Linked DNA regions of Mus musculus. The protein of the gene in region 1 interacts with the protein of each later gene in a pairwise test. Links are inferred from orthologs where the notes say so. Each region holds a gene or a part of one and is shown in the gene's direction. Other genes may lie near its edges.

The links.
Region 2: the proteins of Ube2e2 (region 1) and Znrf1 interact in a two-hybrid assay, tested with the Homo sapiens proteins (2 studies listed by BioGRID and IntAct). The link is inferred for Mus musculus from reciprocal best matches to the Homo sapiens genes UBE2E2 and ZNRF1.
Region 3: the proteins of Ube2e2 (region 1) and Rnf103 interact in a two-hybrid assay, tested with the Homo sapiens proteins (2 studies listed by BioGRID). The link is inferred for Mus musculus from reciprocal best matches to the Homo sapiens genes UBE2E2 and RNF103.
Region 4: the proteins of Ube2e2 (region 1) and Arrdc3 interact in binary tests that used the Homo sapiens proteins (3 or more experiments, as listed by UniProt). The two-hybrid records come from large-scale screens. The link is inferred for Mus musculus from reciprocal best matches to the Homo sapiens genes UBE2E2 and ARRDC3.

Annotation. Positions count from the first base shown.
Region 1 is NC_000080.6:18,886,338-18,891,113, reverse strand, and holds part of Ube2e2 (ubiquitin-conjugating enzyme E2 E2), read left to right. Parts: intron 1-2,664; coding exon of another isoform or gene 2,665-2,672; coding exon 2,673-2,848; intron 2,849-4,776.
Region 2 is NC_000074.6:111,534,759-111,540,039, forward strand, and holds the start of Znrf1 (E3 ubiquitin-protein ligase ZNRF1), read left to right. Parts: upstream 1-1,881; 5' UTR 1,882-2,382; coding exon 2,383-2,806; exon of another isoform or gene 2,807-2,891; intron 2,892-3,543; exon of another isoform or gene 3,544-3,575; coding exon of another isoform or gene 3,576-3,708; intron 3,709-5,281. UniProt on the Homo sapiens protein: E3 ubiquitin-protein ligase that plays a role in different processes including cell differentiation, receptor recycling or regulation of inflammation. Mediates the ubiquitination of AKT1 and GLUL, thereby playing a role in neuron cells differentiation.
Region 3 is NC_000072.6:71,492,177-71,497,482, forward strand, and holds the start of Rnf103 (E3 ubiquitin-protein ligase RNF103), read left to right. Parts: upstream 1-1,700; 5' UTR 1,701-2,486; coding exon 2,487-2,712; intron 2,713-4,654; coding exon 4,655-4,794; intron 4,795-5,306. UniProt on the Homo sapiens protein: Acts as an E2-dependent E3 ubiquitin-protein ligase, probably involved in the ER-associated protein degradation pathway.
Region 4 is NC_000079.6:80,881,753-80,887,108, forward strand, and holds the start of Arrdc3 (arrestin domain-containing protein 3), read left to right. Parts: upstream 1-1,669; 5' UTR 1,670-1,897; coding exon 1,898-2,177; intron 2,178-3,916; exon of another isoform or gene 3,917-4,038; intron 4,039-4,342; exon of another isoform or gene 4,343-4,391; intron 4,392-4,402; exon of another isoform or gene 4,403-5,356. UniProt on the Homo sapiens protein: Adapter protein that plays a role in regulating cell-surface expression of adrenergic receptors and probably also other G protein-coupled receptors.

The DNA of each region.
Region 1 (4,776 bases):
ACCCTACCTTGAGAGCATCTAATCCTAAGAATGCTTCTTTCTGTTTCCCTGCTTATACATAAGCCTGCTTAGCTAGCATGCTATATAGCACATACTTACAAGGTTTTTAACTTTAGATATATTTTAACTCAAAGAAGCAAGCTGAGAAAGAATACAAATATTAAATCCAATAATAAGAATGTTAAAGTCAAATAAGAAAACCCAAGAAATATACTCAGGCTTTTAGAGCTAGACATGAAACATAGAGACATAAAATTTCGGTATTCTGTTAAGTGACTTTATTGCTCATAAAAGGTGTCTTAGCCGTGGGGAATGATGCTCTCCACTTACAAGAGAGAGGGAGAGCAGTCTCAATGTCCTGTGAGTGTGTGAGAGCTATTTGGACAGACTTACTGGATGTCATGAACAAAGGGACTAGGGATGAGGATGGTCATGTCATATGTAGTGTCTGTTGATGCTTTATCGCTGTGCTTCCTGCTTCTTCCAGTACTGTGCTGTGCATATTTGTCTTATAAGCTTCTCATAGAAAACTTTCAGTCTGTTAAAGGCCTGCATTTAGAAAAGCTACCATGGTTTTGAATAAACTCTAGGATGAGCTGATGGTGATGAATGTTGATCAGAAGTACTGGGTCATGCCTTTGAACTAGGTAATGATAATAATAAATTGTATTTGAAGTGTCTGTTTTTTGTGTGTACTGAAGTTTGCTCTTGACCATGTCAACAACAGTTTTATTTCAGTCTTAATTTAAGAGTAACCAAAATGGATCCTTTTCAAGAGGACTTTGGATAAAACTCTTTCTCTTTATCTCTTCCCTTCCCCATGTATGTGTGTTTTACCCTTGATGGTGGTGGTGGTGGTGGTAGTGCTGGTGGTGGTGATGACTCTAGTCACAGGCAGTCTCGTTTTTCAAAAGCATGTCTGAGCTGAAGCTATATGATACTCAAAGTGATTACTGGTGACTTGAGGCCCTGTAGAGTCTGAACATGACTTTTGTCAGTTTCATTCTAGGTCTGTCAGCTTGTTAGGTCATACAGGATGTGATAGTAAGGACCAACCTGGGGCTGATTATAATACAATGAGATTGGAGAAGGGCTATCCATTTCTCAGTGCATTTTTGTGTCACTATCTAGGTTATAACGGCTACCTAGGTATCAAAGTATTACGGGAATTGAGTTAGTCATCAGAGCTGCTCCAGGAGCATGAACTCAAAGCAAAGTGAATTCTGAACCTCTAGGGAGATTTCCTCCAGACTGGGAAAAAAGGAATCCTTCAGTGTCTCGGTACACTCTCTATCTGTTGTGCAACATGGTTGCCTAGTCGAGCTGGATCAGAGCCCACACCCTCCTAAGCTTCAGTTCTTATTTAGGATCACATGGTTTCTGTTCTGTTATCACAAAGGTTACTTAAAACAATTTCCCAGCTTAGAGGATTTTAAGCTTGGCTCAGCTCTAAGGATGTATTGATTGGATATTAGCGTGGCAGTACCACTCTCTCTCAGCCCTGTGCCTTTTTACACCGACTTGTCAGGACACTTTGCAGGTCTCTTTACCTGTCTGGACATCTCATAGCTGAGCCCAAAATGCTTCTCCCAGTGCCTATAAAAATTAGGCTCTCAGTCCTTTCTCTCCCCCCCCCCCCCTATTTAAAATACTTATTTTATATTCTGTGTATCGATGTTTGTTTGCATGTATGTCGTGCACCATATATATGCCTGGGTGCCGAGGGAGGCCAGAGAGGGTGTCATATCACCTGGAACTGGAGCTATAGCCCATTGTGAGTTACCATGTGTGTGTTAGGAATTGATTCCAGTCTCTCTGGAAGAGCAGCCAGTTTTCATAACCCCTGAACTCTCTCTCCAACCCCTTCTGGTTTATCTTGTGCCAGTTCTTTTGAGATATAATTTACCTTATAAAAGTAACCCCCTCCATTTTTGTAAATGCTGGCGGTTGAACTTTGCTGAGTGTGCACTGTCCAAAATGCCCCTCCAGCCCCAAGGCTGCCATCTTAAAAGGTATAACTTAGCCTAGGGATTGCAGGTAGCTCAATGGCAGCACCTGCCTATCATGCCAAGATCCTGAGTTGAGTCCTCAGCAGTACAAAGCAAAGCAGAACTCCGAGGCTTTTCTACTATAAGCACTAGTTAATTTAAGAATATTATTATCACTCAGTAGAAACTTTCTGCCCATTAGAAAACACTTTCCTGTACTGTCTCTACATTCCCACCATGTACCTGTCTAGACATTCCTTACAAATGAGCTTGTACAGTCTGGTCCTTCTGGCTGGCTTCGCTCACTTAGCATAAAGATTCAAGATCTTTCTGCTGAAGCTTGCAGATGCCAGACTTCATTTGTTTCTGTGCCTGAGGTATATTGTCATGTGGATGCACCATGCTTTACCCGTCAATTAGAGAACATTTGAATTGTTTTTACTTTCTGCCTTGTGAATAAAATTGCTACCAACATTTGTTTCTAAATTTTCCATGAATGCAGAGAAGAGAGGTTTTAGCAAACCCCAGAGTTATTTGTTCTATAAATGGGCAATTCTCATTTTTATACCTAATTATACTTCTTTTGTTTCATGGGCTCTGTTTCTCTTCATTATGAACATACCTTGTTGTAGTCCCTACCACAGCAGAATAAATGACATGCCATTCTTTAATCCAGGATCTAAGATGTCCACTGAGGCGCAGAGAGTTGATGACAGTCCAAGCACTAGTGGAGGAAGTTCTGATGGAGATCAGCGGGAGAGCGTTCAGCAGGAACCTGATCGAGAACAAGTTCAGCCTAAGAAAAAGGAGGGGAAGATATCCAGCAAGACAGCCGCGAAACTGTCAACCAGTGCCAAAAGGTAGCCAGCCGTTGTTAGCACTTCATTTGAATTTCCTTCCTTGTACTTAGTTGATTTTCTGGACTGAAGGTCATAGGGTTTATAGATTGTCTCCCCTTTTATATGATGTGGTCTTTTAAAAATGTGCTTTTTAATTGTGGAAACCTTTTTAAAGTCATGGCATATTATAAAATTGGCACTTGTAGTGTTTTGAAATATTTATATCTTGATAGAAAATGTGGGTAGGACATTATAAACGTATAATTTGATTTATGGTTATTTGATTGTGAATATATGCTCAATGACACAGAATTGGCATTGAGAATCTCTTGGCTGGGGCTGGGGAGTGAGGCTGATGGCTTAGTGAGAACAGTGTTGGTTGCTGAGTTTAGATTAGCATCACCCATATAAAAACTGGGAATGGTATGCACATTTGTAATCCCAGCGCTCTGAGAGGAGGTGTGTGTGGTATGTGTGTGTGTGTGTGTGTGTGTGTGTGTGTGTGTGTTGGACACAGGTGGATTATTATAGCTTATTGGCAATCAAATCTTGTCCAGTTAATGAGCTCCAGATTTAGTGAAGAGATCCTGTCTAAGCAACAATGAAAACTGAACCAATACAAACAGGGAGTGATAGGGGAGATAACTTCTGTGGCTAACACATACATGCACATGAACACACACAATCTGTTGAAGTAATTATTAAGTGATAATTTAGTATCTAATCTCCTTGTTGGTAAGGTCAGAAATGCTAGTATTAATGCATCTTGAGTTCATTACATTAGGTGGTAGTGGTGGTGGGTTGCTCCTGATGCAGATTTCTTCTTTCCCTAGAAGACAGAAAGATCTTGAAAGAGGTACTTGGATGTTGGTCTATCACTACTTTAACCACTTACAGTGATTGGCATGTCGGCGGGCTTAGAGGGAATCTGATTTGATAAGGTTACATCATAGCTTGGTGCTTGGAAGATAATTTGAAAGGCAGATTATATTCAGTGGACTCACGTTTGTTTGTGATTTTATACTCTTTAATACATTTTAAAAAATAAAAATACCAAATAAGAAGTAGGGCTTAACATTAACATTAACATTAACATTCTTTTCACTACACATAACTTCAGGTACAGGAAACTCTCCGAATGTTGGATGACAGCTTTATGAGCCATTGGATAATAGGAATTATGGAACTCCTTTCCTATAAAAACAAAAACTGTGTGTCCTTCCAACTTCTCCTATCCACAGGCCTGGGATGAATCTTTGCAGGCCCTCTGGTGAGAGTTATGGTGACTGGTCAGCAAGCCATTTAAACCAGCTAGATGTAGGATGTCCAGCCTTTTGGTAGCATGCTCTACAAATGTTTTAGACCACAGTCCTAGCTGTCCTAGATGCATGCAGCCTGTCCCTGTGTATGCTTCCTGAATATTCACTTTTTCCTTGCCAGGATCTCTTACTACTGTTGAGGGAATTACATGAAGTCAGATAGCTCCAGGTATTCACCAGTTTAGATTGGAACATGATAGGGCAGGGAAAATGCTTTTGTTTCTTTATGCTGTTATACCCCATGTCCAAGGAGACTTCTCACGGTGATCTCTCTCCTTCTATGGCACAACATAAAGTGACCTGCTCCTGCCAAGTAGGGCTGGGGCAGGGTAGACAAGAAAGATCAGGAGTGGAGAAATACAATGTTTAGGGAGGTGGATGGGTAATACTGTTCAGTTGAGATCTTATGCAGTTTCATCTCGAAACTCACATCCAGCCCTGGGCTATTGACTCAGGACTGCTTCAGGCATTTAGTTAAGGGGAGAGAGAAGAGAGGGCTAGACAGGTCTGTGGGGAACACACCTGTTGAACTGTCCTTGACTCTTCTGTGATTGATAATCACTAGAGATTTCTCTTTTATCTAGCTGGGAGCATCCCTACCAAAAAAAAAAAAAAAAAAAAAAAAAAAAC
Region 2 (5,281 bases), on another chromosome or scaffold:
ACTTTGTAGACCAGGCTGGTCTGGAACTCAAAAATCCGCCTGCCTCTGGCTCCCAAGTGCTGGGATTAAAGGCATGTGCCACCATGCCCGGCTACTAATTTTTTTTTATATATGAATGACTGTATGTATGCATGTATCATGCCTCTGGGGTTATGGATGGCTGTGAATCACCACATAGGTGCTTGGGATGAACCTGGGGCCTCTCTAAGAACAAACGCTCTTAACCCCTGTGCCAACTCTCCAGCCCCTAGATACACACACGCAATTTGGTTTTTTGTAACAGAGTTTCTGTGTGGCCTTAGCTGTACTGGAACTTGGTTTGTAGACCAGGCTGGCATGGAATTCAGAGATTGTCCTGCCTCTACCTCTCGAGTGGTGGGATTAAGGTGAGCACCACAGCCATGAAAATTTTTGCATTGGCTTTTCTTTTTCTTTTCTTTTCTTTTCTTTTTTTTTTCGAGACAGGGTTTCTCTGTATAGCCTTGGCTGTCCTGGAACTCACTCTGTAGACCAGGCTGGCCTCGAACTCAGAAATCCTCCTGTCTCTGCCTCCCAAGTGCTGGGATTAAAGGCATAGGCCACCACTGCCCAGCTTGTTCGAAGCTTTTAGCTCACCCCCAGCACTCTGTGCTTGCAAACAACCATCTTTCTGTGGCCTTCCAGGCTAGTCACACTGGAAGAGACAAGTCTATTAGCCCCTTTAAATCTCCCTCCAATTCCATTTTCGGAAGCACGGAGCCCACTTGACAGAGTGACAAGAGAAGGTCAGGTTAGTGACTGGGTGATGCTTACGGTGCTCAGAGCTGAGCACTTGAAAAATTATTTGCTCAAAGAATAAGCAAAGTGAAAATATGAGAAAGACTGGGACTGACCTGGCAAGGTGAGTCTCTGTTGCAAAATGCAATTTGGTCAACAAATATTTATTGAGTACTGTGCCCTTGCCTTGTGGCTCTATGTCAAAATATGGCTCTATGTCAAAATACATGATAAACAAAACAGCAATCGGCCTTGGGCAAGGAGTTTCTAAAACAGCTTTCCCGCTGCATGGTTCTTACTTTTTTTTTTTTTTTAATCCACCTATTGATTTTGAGGATTATATTCTAGCCTAAGGAATCGATTCAGACCCAAATAGTTGGTTCTGATCTAACGACAGCAAAGTCTAGGCGCCACTGGGGCACTGTTGTATCTCCTAACAGCTAATCCCAAATGTGTTTGGGTCCAAGCTGATTCCCTCCTCCCCCCCCCCCCCCGCCCCCCATGCTAAACTTCCTAAGGTTGGCTGGGGTCCTTGGATGGAGAACCTCCAAACGAATGGACAGCATATCCACCAGAGGGTGCTGTGAGGGCAGGTCTGTGGCGGGAGGGGAGCTCCCCCAGTGACCCTTCAAACCCAGGTAGGCTTTATTAGTTGGTTTTTCTTTCTTCTCGGTGTTTCCTTCCTACCCGCTAAAACCGTCGTTACCCCTCCCCCCACTCAGGGTCTCGTTTTGAAGACATTGATTCGACTTTCGCCGCGACTCCAGCAGAGCTGTGATCCAGAGGAAGTCTGACCTCTGTCGCAGACGCCCGGCGGCTGGAGACGTCCTGTCCCTGGACCGCCCGGGGCGCAGGCGGTAGGTGGGTGGGGACCTCCAAGGCCGCAGCTCGCTGCTGCGCCGCAGGGGCCGCGAAGGGGTTAACCCGGCGGGGGGGGGGGTGCGGGAGGAGGGAGGGGGCGCGGGCCGCGCGTGCGCTCTGCCGCCCTCCATTGTCTCCACGGCGGCGAGGAGCGCCGGCGAGCGCAGCCCGGGACGGAGCGGGGCGGTGCGGCTGGCTGGCGGGGCCGGCGGCGGCTGGAGCCGGAGCGCGACGCCACGCGACCGCGGCTTCCAGAGCTCCGCCTGGCTGCCCCACCGCCGCGAGCCCTCCCGAAGCCTGGAGGAGTGAGGGCCGCCGGCGCGGGCTGAGGAGTCCTGAGACGGGGGACGCGAACGGCGCGGCGCCCGGAGCCTCCGCCGCTTCCTGCTGCGGGCGAGCGGCCTCCTCCGGCTCCTCCCTCCCTTCGCTGCGGCTCCTTAGGCTCCGGAGCCCGGGGGCGGCCTGTGGCGCGAGGCGCCGGCTCTGGACCGCGCTTCTTCGGACCTTAAGGGGAACATGCATTCGGCTTGGACAGTTTGAAATTCTTAGTTTGGGGTCCCCGCTCGCTTGCTTTTTCCACCCCGCGGATTTTTTTTGAGGATTCCCCCCCTCACCTTTTTTCATTTTTCTCCCCTCGGGGCTCTTTTGTGACTCTCCCCAACCCCAACCCTCCGCCTTTATGTTCGCCCAGACCTCCACCCGCTTCTGAGTAGTGGGGGAGGGTTTCAGCCTCCACGTTCCCGCCCCACCGGGGCCCCGGCGAACATGGGGGGCAAGCAGAGCACGGCGGCCCGCTCTCGGGGCCCCTTCCCGGGGGTCTCTACGGATGACAGCGCCGTGCCGCCGCCGGGAGGGGCGCCCCACTTTGGGCACTACCGGACGGGCGGCGGGGCGATGGGGCTGCGCAGCCGCTCGGTCAGCTCGGTGGCGGGCATGGGCATGGACCCCAGCACGGCCGGAGGGGTGCCCTTTAGTCTCTACACCCCCGCCTCCCGCGGGACCGGCGACTCCGAGAGGGCGCCGGGCGGCGGAGGGTCCACGTCGGACTCCACCTATGCCCACGGCAATGGTTACCAAGAGACCGGCGGCGGTCACCATAGAGACGGGATGCTGTACCTGGGCTCCCGAGCCTCGCTGGCGGATGCTCTACCTCTGCACATCGCACCCAGGTGGTTCAGCTCGCACAGTGGTGAGTCCGCGGGTGACGGAGGCCTTGAAGGGTGGAGTGCAAGGGAGGGCGCGCCGGGGCGCCCGAAACCTCTTAATGTGCTAAGGTATGGGTATGAAGCTAACTCCTGCCCTTCCCCTGGTTCCTTCCATGTCAGAGGATGAATAGGATCAAATAAGATAACTACTGCCTAGGGGGAAAGCTGCCTACTAGGCGTGTGGAGCCGGGTACCTTAGGACTGCAGGCATGTGTTCACTTGTGGATGGCTGAGTGAAACCTGCCTATTGAGGTCGCATTTATTAGCGTCATGATCCTCAAAGGTCTTCTTGTCTGAGACTCTTCATTTCTGCCGCTGCAGCATGGTACCTACCTTTCTGGTTAAGGAGGTAGTGTCTCCTAAACAAAGAGTGAGAAAAGAAATAAAACTAGGGGCGAGTGATTCTTGGATTAGGGTTCTTATTCTCGCTAGGAAAGGGAGGTGGTTTGTTTTTCCACCCGACTGGTTTGCTGTATCAATTGTTTAAAATGGAACAGGAGGCTGGCTTAGACAGGTGTGGTCTGCTATGTGGAAAGCCTCCGTCTTTGGGTTTGCAGGACCAGGATTCTGGTCTGCATGCAGTAGATTTGGCTCAGGGATTCTCACATCCCTCCATCTTTTTTCCCCTGCTCCACGATAAGTGCTTGTTCTTCCCGTGATTGTGCATCTTTTTTTTTTTTTTTCTTTTCATAGAGCCCAGGAGAGGTGGGGTGGTATTGCCCCACAGCTGGCACATGACTAGGGAAGAGGAAGATGGAAAGGATGGAGATGAACTCATTCTGTGCACTTCTGGTGACAGGCCAGGAAAAGGCTGGAGGGGGATTTCCCAGGCCCTGGCTGGTGGTAGGGCAGCAAAGGCCTGGCAGAGACTTCTACAGGAAAACAGGTCTGTCTGCTTGGCTGTCCTGAGAAGCCAGGGCAGGCCTCTAGAAAACTGGTCAAAAGGGGTGTGGGGTTGCTGCTTGTTAACTACCAGTCTGAGTGAAGCAGTTAAGTATTCAGACTCTTGTGCCTGAACTGGGCAATTTTTGTTGCTGTGTAGGAGAAATCATTCTCCTGTCCTCAGGGTCCATTATGGAGGGCTTACCTGTGAGGTCACTGTTGTAGCTCATTGCAAAACAAGGTAGGGTTTGTTTTGTCTTGTTTGGTTTTGTATCTTTCCTTCTTTTGATCAATTCCATAATTTTTGAAGTAACTTTGGTGGGTTATAGTGGCTGGCTTAGAGCTTCTTTGACTTTAACTAAAATGCTGGACATCAGACACAAGGCATGTCTGCTTTTGGTACCCTCTAGTCATTTGGTCTGTGTTGGGCATGTTGGAATTAATAATCTTCCCTAAATAGTTGAGTCCAGAAGTCTCAGCTTTATTTCGAGACGATTATGAGTACACTTGTAAGTGAACTGTTATTGGCATGCTTTTAAAACAATTTTGAGTGCAGCAAGCAAATACCTTTATAAAAGCTTATATGGGGAGGGAGAAAAGGAGTTATCGTTTTGGTAAGATTTCTTAAGTCTGTCTCTTAATAGAAACTTCATTATCCTTGTTCTATTGTCAGGTTCTCTGATAGAGTTATGAACTTACAACTGAGTTCCAATATCTCACACTCTCCAGATATGAAGGCTTAGTGTTCTCCCCACCATCTTACTCCCACCCAGTCACGGGAGTAGGGAGTCCCACTGAGTGATGGGAATACAAGAAAAGTTAGAGTCATCCTTTGGGTGTCTTTAAAGTGTACGTGGCAGGCTCTTGTTAACATTATAGGTAATATTTGTATATATTTACTTATTTTTAGTATATAGAACCACCTGTGCTTTTTGCAAGACTCTGGGCCTATTGAATGCTCCTGGCATCCTGCAGTTCACCTCATACTGCCTCTGAATTCCCAAATGGCTTTTATTGGGGTGGGTGTACCAGTCTGACTGTGAGCTGCCTGTGCTGTTCAGCAGAGGTGAGCATTCATTTGTGTCAGTGTTAGAACAGGCCGTGGAATTTTCTGGGGCATCCTTTTCTCTTGTTCTTGGCTGCAAGGAGAGACGCTGCTGTTTCGCTGCTGTCTCGGCTGTGGAGCCTTGGAGTTAGGTCTGAGCAGCTTTTGCTCTTGTGTAAGATTCCAAAGGTGGGGCTTTCAGTGTTTGACTGACTGCGGGCCTGGAAACTGGTACAGTGTTAGTACTTGGGTTTTCAAGGTGCTTTGGTGACTCCTCACAAGCAGAGAGCTGTCATTAAAGAAATAAGTCAAAGCTGTGGGCTTGTGCTGTGTTCCAAAGTAGAATACTGAGGGCTTCCAGTTTTAGGTCCTCTGCTGAGTAACTTTGACCTTGGACAAGACACAGCACTTTTCTCTAGGCTCATCTTTGTTATTTTAAAAATAGATGTGGTAATCCTCCGCGGTGGCAGCTTGTAACGGTTGTTCTCTAAACCCCAGGAGAGGATATTCTGCAATTGCGCTTGGCTTCCGT
Region 3 (5,306 bases), on another chromosome or scaffold:
GAGTCTATTATTACTAAAATGCATTCCTTCGAGGCAAGGCATATCATTTATGTGTTTAGACTTGACTAGCAATGCCACCATATAACAGTGCTATACTGTGAAATCAAGAATGCTGAAATTACAGAGCCAAGTCTGTCAGCAGGAACAGTTTAATACAGTCTCCACGTGGTCTGCTGCCCTGGAAAACCACCACACTGTTCTGTAAGTCTGAAGCTGTACATTCCTGCCCACCCTGCTCCTAGGCTTCTTCCTTCCTAGCTCCTCCACTAGCTGTACACCGAGATGCCTTTGTTAACTGCGTTATAAAGGGGTACTATCCTTTGTCTACATTTTATGATCCATTCTTTGTTTTCCATGGCTCATTTGCTCCCTGATTGAGGGTCACACTCTCTCCCTAAAAATTTCACCCCTGGTTTAGGGTTGTTCATGCTTTTCCTTGCTGGCTAACATTTCACCTGGAATTCCTACTTGTTTTCCTGATCAAGAAGACTCACACACACGCACACATGCACACACACGCGCGTACACACACACACACACACACACACACACACACAGAAACAGAGAGAGAGAGACAGAGTGGGGGAGAAAGACAGAGAGAGGGAGAAAGACAGAGAGAGAGAGAGAGAGAGAGAGAGAGAGAGAGAGAGAGAGAGAACATGACCCTGCTAGAGTTAAATAAACACGGAACCAGGTACCATACGCTTGCCTGTCAAACTCATTTTATATGAGTTCTTCTGGCTGGCTAAAACACACAGACCTTTGCACCTGGACCTAACCACACCTAACAACTTTTGTCCTGACAACTCAGACCTTCATTGTCTACTTTTTAACCCTCTAGGAGACTAGCCACAACTGGATCACATACTAAAATTCTTTTTGGCCATACCTCCTCCAACACACATGTGAAAATCGCATTCTAAAGCAAAGGTAGAAAAACATCTGTTTTCAGAGTTTCACCTCAAGCACCTCAAGCCAGCTGTGCCACCCCTCCCCCCCACCCCACCCCGAACAAAAAACTAAACAAAAGAAAAACCCAAAAGCATCCGCGGTTGACAGGGACTGGACTTAAAACACAGATTCTGATTTTTACAGATCTTGATGATTTGGGTGGGTGTGGTGGTGCACGGTTTTTTTTTTTTTTTTTTTTTTTTTTTTGGGTTTTCGAGACAGGGTTTCTCTGTGTAGCCCTGGCTGTCCTGGAACTCACTCTGTAGACCAAGCTGGCCTCGAACTCAGAAATCCGCCTGCCTCTGCCTCCCGAGTGCTGGGATTAAAGGCGTGCGCCACCACGCCCGGCGGTGCACGGTTTTAATCCCAGCACTTCCATGCCTGGCAGGCAATCTCTGAATTCTGAGGCCCGCTTGGTGTTCAGAGCGGTTCCAGGCGGGCCAGGACTATTTAATAAGGCAGTGTCTCAAAACAAAACAAAAACCACAAACAAAAACGAACATCTTTTAGCAGCCTTTATTTTTCACGCTCAGCACAAAGGTGCACAGTGTCGCAGGGTCCAATGTCCAATCCTGGGACTGAAATCAGTGACTAAACATCAGCGCATCAGAGGGCTGGGACCGCGAGAGCACAGTAACTCGGAAGGTTTACCCAGCCCAGCCTCCCGCAGCCCCTCTCTCCCCTTGCACCCCGCGGCTTCTAACCCCGCCCCTGCCGAGACCCCGCCCCGATGCCGACGTCAGTTGTTATGTCTTGACTGGGGCCGCGGCTACAGCGGGTCCAGTGCTCTGGGGGCGACGGCCGCGGCCTGCAGAGGCGGCAGGGACGGTGGCCGCGGTTGGCGCGGCGCGTCCGCACGGGGCTGGGCACCGCGCGGCTACGCAGCTGACAGGAAGCCGCCCGGGAGAGCCGCGTTGGGGCCTAGCGTTATTTGCTTTTTCCTCTTTTTTTCCTCCCTTCACGACTGTCGTCTCGCGCTCCTCCTCAGCGGGAGCCGCCGCGACGCCCCCTCGCGGGCCGCGGGGCCTGATAGGCGCCGCCCGCGGGAACCTGGAGCTGCCGCCAGGCCTGGGCGGCCGCCGGGGCCTGAAGCCTGGGCGTTCGGCGCGGCGCTGCGGCGGTCACTCCAACCCGCGCTGGGCGCGCCGGGCCCCGGGCCTGGCCCAGCCGAGTACCGCGCCCTCTGGACCACTCAGTCCGGCCCCAACCGCCCTCCGCTGGCCCGCAGTCCCTCGGAGCTGCCTCCCGGTCACCCCAGGTGGGCTCTTGCCCTCTTCCAGCCGTCCGCAGCTCGATGGGTGGGGTGCGTTTGAACGTCCCCCCTTCTCCCTTTCTCAGCTCCTGACCGCAAGGCCAGAGCCGGGGCTCTCAGTCGCACGCACGCCGCGATCCACCTGCCTCCCCGCGGGGATGGCCCGCCGGTGACCGCCGCGCGCCCTCGCTGCCCTCGCCCAGGCTGCGCTCTGTCGCCCCGCACTCGATCCCCTTCCCTTGTCCACGGCGTCCCGGCTCCTGGCGACGCCAAGAGGGCGAAGATGTGGCTGAAGCTGTTTTTCTTGCTCCTGTATTTCCTGGTCCTGTTCGTCCTGGCCAGGTTTTTTGAGGCCATTGTGTGGTACGAGACTGGCATCTTTGCTACTCAGCTGGTGGATCCGGTGGCATTGAGCTTCAAGAAGCTGAAGACCATTCTGGAGTGTCGAGGGCTGGGCTACTCCGGGCTGCCGGAGAAGAAAGATGTTCGGGAGCTGGTGGAGAAGTCAGGCAAGTGCTGGGCTCCTGGAGGTCGCCTCCACTGTCCTGGCTCTTACCCACTCCCCAGAATTAGGCGGTCCCCAGAATGGTTAAACAGACTGCTCCAGAGAGCTGCCCAGGTCATCTTTGTCTACGTTTTCTAAATAAATATGTAAATCTCGGTTTGGAAAAGACAACTGTTAGGTGTATTGGTGTGTTCCAAAGGCTCTTTGGAAATGACAGTTTGAAAGTGTAGCTTTAAAAAAAAATCATTAAATTGAATCATTTGTCCCAGAATTCAGGAACGTCAGTTGAAATTGATTATAGAGAAAGGAAAAATTACAAAACATAGTCTGTAAATAGCAGCATCTGCATCCACAATAAAAACAAGCTACCAGGAGGGTAAAACATCATTAAAATAATAACAAAAGGCACGTGGACCTAAAGATTTACGTGTAAATTATGCATTTAATTATAGGTAAGGTGTACACAGTGCAATATTGCTTTTTATACTTTAGTGAACATTTTGTGTGGCTGTTGGCCTTGTTTAGAGTAAATATTTTCTTGCAGATTATACATTTTATTTTTGAATCTTGACTTACCTTTCTTGTCATGTGTCACAGGCATCTCTGCGTCACTTAATGGGTTGAGGAAAAGACTTGAAATAGTGCTGAAAGAATATTTAATGTAGCCGTTGATTTGGGGTAGGATTGGGTGGGGAAATACAGTTAACTTTAAAGTGTCTCCTTGTTTAGATAGTTTTCCTGAAAGAGGAATGTAAATTAAGAAAGGCCTTCTGAGGTGATGTAGGAAGCATTGGAAACTTATGATTATCTTGTTTTGTCCTTTCAAGTATATCATCAGCGGGGCCTTTTAGAAGACCATTTTTTCCCCCTTGGGTAGTACTATCTAGACAAATAGTGTGATAGGCAAGATGACAACGTTTATCAGTCTGACACTTACATACTTATAGCATAAGGGTTACAGAACTCATCTCGCCAGTGAGATAGAAGGAAGGAGTCCTTTGCGTAAGGGATACATTTTTCAAGTGGTTATTATTATTGCTCTTGTTTGCACCAGGTTTATGCTGCCATTGGTTGTTGGGGCTGGGGGGTGGGGTGGGGTGGGGGGAGTGGGTTAGCAATCTCATACAGTTATTTGATCACACAGGCTTTCCCCTTGGAGCTTTATGTTAGATATTTTGCTGCCATTTGAGCCTAAAATTGTTGTCATATGGAATGTACAAAGAATCCACACATAGCCTAAAGACTATACAACCAAAGTATGATTCAGATCACACATTTTAACAGCATAAGAACAACAAAAAACAGTCTTGGTATGGCAATTTAACTGTGAAACCTAAATGTTTGTTGTGGATGGTTTTGCTGTTTGGAATGGAACTGGAATATCACCATGTAATATTTAAGGCAAAGGTTAGATAATGTGACATGAATGGTTTGCTTTTTTATATTTAATTATACAAGAGCCACGTTTACACTGTAAACTTGTCTATGAATGTGGGGTTTGTTGTTCTGATAGGTAACATTCTTTCTCTCCCAGTCACATAAAAACCTTGTTGCCATTTATAAGCAGGCTGATAGCAAATTCTGTGAACCCTTTTCTAAACCTTTCGAGTAACAACATAAACCAAGCTTTGAAAAATCATGTGAAGCCTGTGCAGGCTTTATGTAAAATTAAATGATTACTAATTTGAGAGGATTTCTTTTTGGACTGATGTAATTAGTAATTTACTAACAAGCTATATGATGACCCCATTAGAATATATGCACTACTATAAGAGATGAATTGTTGTCTTTTTTTTCATTTTTTGCTGATGTATTCAAAAGCTATTGAATTTTGTAGAATAAAAATATAATAGTGTGCTTATTCATGATGTAAAATGGTATTAATCATTGAAGTTGAGAACATGGGATTTTTGAAACCTTACCAGGGTTTTTATTTTTTCCTTCAGGTGACTTGATGGAAGGTGAACTCTATTCTGCTCTTAAGGAAGAAGAGGCATCTGAGTCTGTTTCTAGTACCAATTTCAGTGGTGAAATGCATTTCTATGAGCTTGTGGAAGACACAAAAGATGGCATCTGGCTGGTTCAGGTAGAAAGGATGATAATACTTAAGAACCTTATTTATACCAAAATAGTATTTACCACTGAGTAACTCTTCTCTTGTATCCTCCTGTTTGCCTCCTAGGCAAAACTCAGTTCTCATAGGGTTTTTTAAACCGATGATAATGACAAATAGATGAGGAGCTGTGGCTCAGTTGGTGGAGTACTGAAGTGAAATGGAAGTGGTGTGCATGCATGAAATCCTGCCTCCAATCCCTAGCACCACCTAGGTCAGGCTATGGTGCCGCACACAGGAAATCACACACACAGGAAGCAGAAACAGGGACCCAGAGCTTCAGGGTCTTCCTTAGCTGCATAAGGAGTTCAAAGCCAGCCTAGGTAGGATACATGAGATCCTGTCTTTGAAAAAAAAAAAAAAAAAAAAGTAAAAAGTAAAGAGTGGAAAAGGAAAGATTGGGGAGAGGGGGAGGGTTGTCTTGAGAATCAACAGACAGAAATGTCTAGAAACACGTTCCTTATATTTAGCTCTAGTTTTTTAAA
Region 4 (5,356 bases), on another chromosome or scaffold:
ATAAATAAAATTTAAAAAATAATGTAAATTCTCGTTGTGCCCACTTTTAACTCCACTCCTTGCTCAATCTTCTGTGGTGTCTAATGCTGAAATCCACCTCATACTGAAGGAAACTTGACATTCTAGCAAAGACGTGGCTGTTACCACTAGGGGGAGAAAAACACCAATAGTATTTGTTACCAACCCTTAGCCCAAGGGTTAGACACTTTACCTGGATTATCCACCAGGTGTCAACCAAGAGAAGAAAGTTGCCCCTACCCCCCACCCCGGACCAAATACACAGATGTGTAATTTTATGCATAAAAAGCTAAACTCTTCTTGGCTTTTCCAGTAATTATTCTTCACATAGTTATATTTTAGGTTTTTTTTTTCAGTTCAAGTGTCAAGTTCAATCTAACTAAACATGTAGATTTTTTTTCTTTTTTAAATAAAGAAAACAGCAAGATGAATGTGTTTAGTTTGTTGTGATTCGACCTATCCAGATTTATCATTCAAAAAAAAAATCTAATGTTTAACTATGGACAACCAACCCCCCACATTTTTTGGTTAGGCATAATACAGGATTTTATAACATAGCCCTGTTATGAGGTTATGTTGATTGTTAATGATCTATTACCCCCTAAATCCTGGTGATGTTTATGACTGAGTATTTTACTCAAGGCATTAAAAAAGGAGAAATGTGCCTGTATTTAAAGATGCAGCACGGCAATTAGCATGTTGAATTAAAAGTAAGGCTTAACAAAATTAAGCCTCACTTATATAACAAATCATACTTAAAAACCAAAAACCACCTTATATGCTTTCCTAAGGCTTTTCAGTCTGTTGTAAACAATGTCAGCTAAATGACTATGTTCAAACCGCCTCTTATGAGGTGGTAATTAGGGGTGTGAGCTCTATTCTTATTCCTGATACAGGAGTTGTAATCGAGTCATTCCCTGCAAAAGGAGCAAAAGGTGATGTCTTGAAAAAGGACTTTTTCTCCCTTCGAGGAAGTGGTCAGGCCTACACACTACACAGACAACTTGATTGGGTTTGATGCTGTAGGAGCTGAAGACGGGAGCTGCCTGGAGCATTGTTCTTTGGCTCCTCAGGCCTTGGCTTAGTCCATTGCCACCCAGCCTACAAAGTCCTGCTTGCTTTTGTTATTTCTATCCAAGTCAACAACGCTTTCTTCTATGAACAATATTTGTCTGCTTTTTATTACGTTTCTTTTGAAATTCATTAGCTCAGACTCGGGCCACCAACCGCTTGCCCAACTGGTTTCTCCCCTTCCCCCACGGCTCGCACGTCCTCCGGGTCCGCGGCCCAGGCGCACACTCCTGGCCTGGCGCCGCCGGGTCCCTCTGCTCAGCTCCGGGAGCGCGTGCGGGGCCGGCGCTGCGGCCGCGGCGGGGGTGGCGGGGGTGGCGGGGGTGGCGGGGGTGGCGGGGGTGGCGGGGGTGGCGGGGTGCCCGCCTGCCAATCGCAGCGGCCCATGCACCGAAGTCGGCGGCGCCCGCTCCACACCTACTGTACCGGGAGCGTGCGGCAAGAGCCGGGCGCGCGCCGCGCGGGAGGGAGCGCGCTGGAAGGCTGGCCGCAGTCGCAGCCTGCGCCTGCGCACTAGGGTTGTTTTTCACAAAGCTGCTCTTAAAGTGAGCTGGCAGCCTCCAGCCGCCCGTCTTTGTAAGGAGACCACTGAGACGAGCAGGAGCGTGGAGCAGCGGCTTCTCTGCTGCCCTGACTTTTTAAGAAATCTCAATGAACTATTTGTAGACAATCACTGATCCTGCCTGCATGATTTTTTTTTCTTGCACGGCAAAGACACCCATCAGTGTTAAGTGAAGATCACATCTTATATGCGATCTTGACTTTTTTTTTGGTCTTACATTATATTTTTATAGATTTTGTTATAATCATGGTGCTGGGAAAGGTAAAGAGTTTGACAATAAGCTTTGACTGTCTTAATGACAGTAATGTCCCCGTGTATTCTAGCGGGGACACTGTCTCAGGAAGGGTAAATTTAGAAGTTACCGGGGAGATCAGAGTAAAATCTCTTAAAATTCACGCAAGAGGACATGCGAAAGTACGGTGGACGGAATCAAGAAACGCCGGCTCCAATACTGCCTATACACAGAATTACACTGAAGAAGTAGAATATTTCAACCATAAAGACATCTTAATTGGGCACGAAAGAGGTAAGTTTTTAATTAGTCACTACATTCGACTTCTTTGCATGAGAACTTTAATCTCATTTAGTGCAGTTCTAATCGGCAGTTTGTTAAAGGTTAGCAAACTTAGAAGCTGTAGTTTCTCCTTGACGTTCAAGCGTGTTAAGCCTTAATCCATGCAGGCGTCTGCAAAGTGAGTGCAAACTGCACTTAACTACATCTGTAACCGGCTTCATATCTGCCATACGCACCTTACAACGTGTTTAAATGTGACTCCGTCGTTTTACTAATATTTTCAAATTCATTTGCAAAAGCTGCAGTCCGATATTGGATTTCCTTTATTTTACAATCTTAGATACAGAAATGAGCTCCAATAAAGAACTGTAGTGACATTTAAGAAGGTTGCTAGATGTATCTGATTTTGATATTAACGTGCAAACGACTTTGAGGACTTGATTATTGTTCTTTGATAAAGGGCTTCCATCCCTTATTTTGACATATGGCACCAACACCCCCACGTGTTTTCCCCCTATTTTTCCCAATTCCCTTTAAAATGTACATCAAGCATCGTTTATTTCAAAGAATAATGTCTATCATTATGCAAACTATTAAGTCAGTTTTAGAAGCCATTCGGGGTCAGTGATTTTCTTCTCGGAGCATCATGTCTAACTTTGGAACGTGGATTCAATGAAACCCATGGCAGACAGATGGAATTGAAAAGTATATGACACATCGGATTTGGGTTTGGGGTATAAGACGAAGATTGAAGCATTGTCAAAGGGAGAAGGGGTCCTGAGATTTGCAATCTGTTGTTTAAGTGCCTACATTGTGGAAATACAGGCGACTCCAAGCTTGTTTTTCTAAGTTTCCACCCTTTGTTAGAAGCGGTTCAATCCTGTTTCGGACCAGTTCTGGGGGATGGTGAGGAGGGGCGCTTGTTCTCCTCTCAGCAGATTGGTTACACGCGTCAGGTGGTGGCGATGACTTAATTCCTAGTCCAAGAAGAATATAATGTTAAAACTGGTTATGTAATTTGTTTCTCCTTTCTAATGCAGTATTTTAGTGCAAATACTGGCGACTTTTCAGATAGAGGAATACTTTGTTTTTTTTTAATATCTAAAATGTACATCCTAGGGAGACGTTAATTGAACTTAAGGCAAGTGGGAAATGGAGGATGCTTTAAGTTACACAGAATTAATGTATCGTCTTTTAAATATGAAGGCGAAGCCAATTCTTAGGGTTTACGCACCTACACCAGGGTATTCCAAATACTGAATGGTTCCCTAGTTCTTTTTTTGCAGCGTCCACACGGATGGGGCGTACAATGCCTAATGACAGCGCTCTCGTTTTTTTTTAAAAAAAAAAAAAAAAAGGGCAGGCACATGAATTTGCTTTTGAGCCTGCTTGGACGTTGCAGCCTTTAATGAAATAAGAAGAGACAAAGACTTTTGCCTCGAAGAGTTCAGACTTGTAGTGGGGGGTATAGATAGAGAGTTCTGTGGACAAACACTTGATCCATTGCACCACGATCTCACGGTTAGGATAACTACCTGCACCCTGCGAGGTGCCCCGGCAAGCCTGGCTACGCGTGGACGGGCTCGCAGGGCTGGAATAGTTTCAATGACTTCAAACTGGCAGCTCGCTCTCAAACTAGCCTGGTAGCTGAGCGCCCGCCCCAGGCGCCCGGCGATAGGCGGAGCAGCGTTTGTTAGCCTGTTGCTAAGGCGATGCCAGGCGTTGATTGGATTGGGCTGGTGGGGGTGGGGAGGATCAAGCCGGCTCGCGCCGGTTGGGGCGAGGCTTGGAACCGGCGTGCGCCGGTAAAGGTCCCTCCTGGCCCGCCACCTCGGCTTCTGGGCGCGCCCCTCGCCCAGCGCAGCCGCCGCAGGTGCCATTGCCTTGGGTGCAGGCTCGGTTCCCACCGGGGACTGAGAAACGTGCGGGCGTCAGGGTCGCCCCGGGGCTGGTACCTGTCTGACCCGAGGGGACGTGACAGAGGCTGGGCATTGCAGAGAACGCTGCGGCCAGCTCGGCCTCGCCCATTATTCCCCCCCGGGCCTTCGCCTCCCTGCCGCCGCCCCAGTTCCCCCCGGCTGTAACTGTGTAGGTGTCAGGGTGGCCTGAGCCAGATTGAACCGGTCACCGGCTGGGGCGTGGAAAGCGGAAGCGCGGCGCGCGGTGGCCCCGCCCCCGGCTCAGCAGGCTAGGCTGCGCGGGCGCGAGCGCCGCGCGACGTATGCCGTATGTATAGCGGGGCGCGCGGAGCGCGGGCGCGAGCGGGCGGGCCGGCTGAGAGCTGCTCAGCGCCGGTTTAGGCCGGTCCTCTCCTGCTCCAGTCTAGTTCTTGATTGACAGCCAGGCACTTGTTTACCACGGCGCGGCGGCCGCCGCTCGCCTCAATGAGACTGCTGAGCTGGCACAAAAGGGAACCGGGAGGAAGAAAGGGAGAGGGAGGCGAAGTTTGAGCGCCTTGGAGGGAGCGAATTGACGGGCCACGGTCCCCTGGCCGGTCCTCAGGGCTGACACTTAGAGGGGCTCCCCAGGAGGCGCGGGCAGGAGTGTGCAGAAATGGGCGGGTCACGATGATTTGGGGAGGAAAATCATATTTTGTATGTATTTTCAGTACTTAGGTGAAGTGTAATGATGCAGCGCCAGCCCCCACCTCCATCCCATTCTAATTAAAAAGGATTGCCCATCAAGTAACGCTAGTAAGACTTTGGTATATTACGGAGAAAGCCAAAAGGACCTTTTCACATTTTTGATTTATTTTCACGACACACACACACACACACACAAATGAATCCGAGCAGAAGAAATGGGTTAAGTGAAAGCTTATACCCCCACCCCGCCCCCGCCCAAGCCCCTACAAATGGAAACTACCCAATTAGACTTAAGGATGTTGAAAAAAATGGTTTCTTTGTAAGCATCTTTTAAATTCTGTGCCTTGTAATTAAACTTATAAAAACAGATTTCAGTCTGCTGCTAAAACCAGTTGAGTGTTGAATATTGTCTAAGTAAACAATTGTATTTAGCTTTTAAACAGTTGCTTACCCCTTTCCTTTTGACAGGGTCCCCTCTGGGTGGCCCTGAGTCCCAGGGGTCCTCCCAACTCTGCTTCCAGGGTGGAACTGGAACAGTCTTCTCTAGAAAGCCAGTAGCCATCAAAAACTGGCAATTTGAAAAGTATTCTACGATTTTTGTTTTAC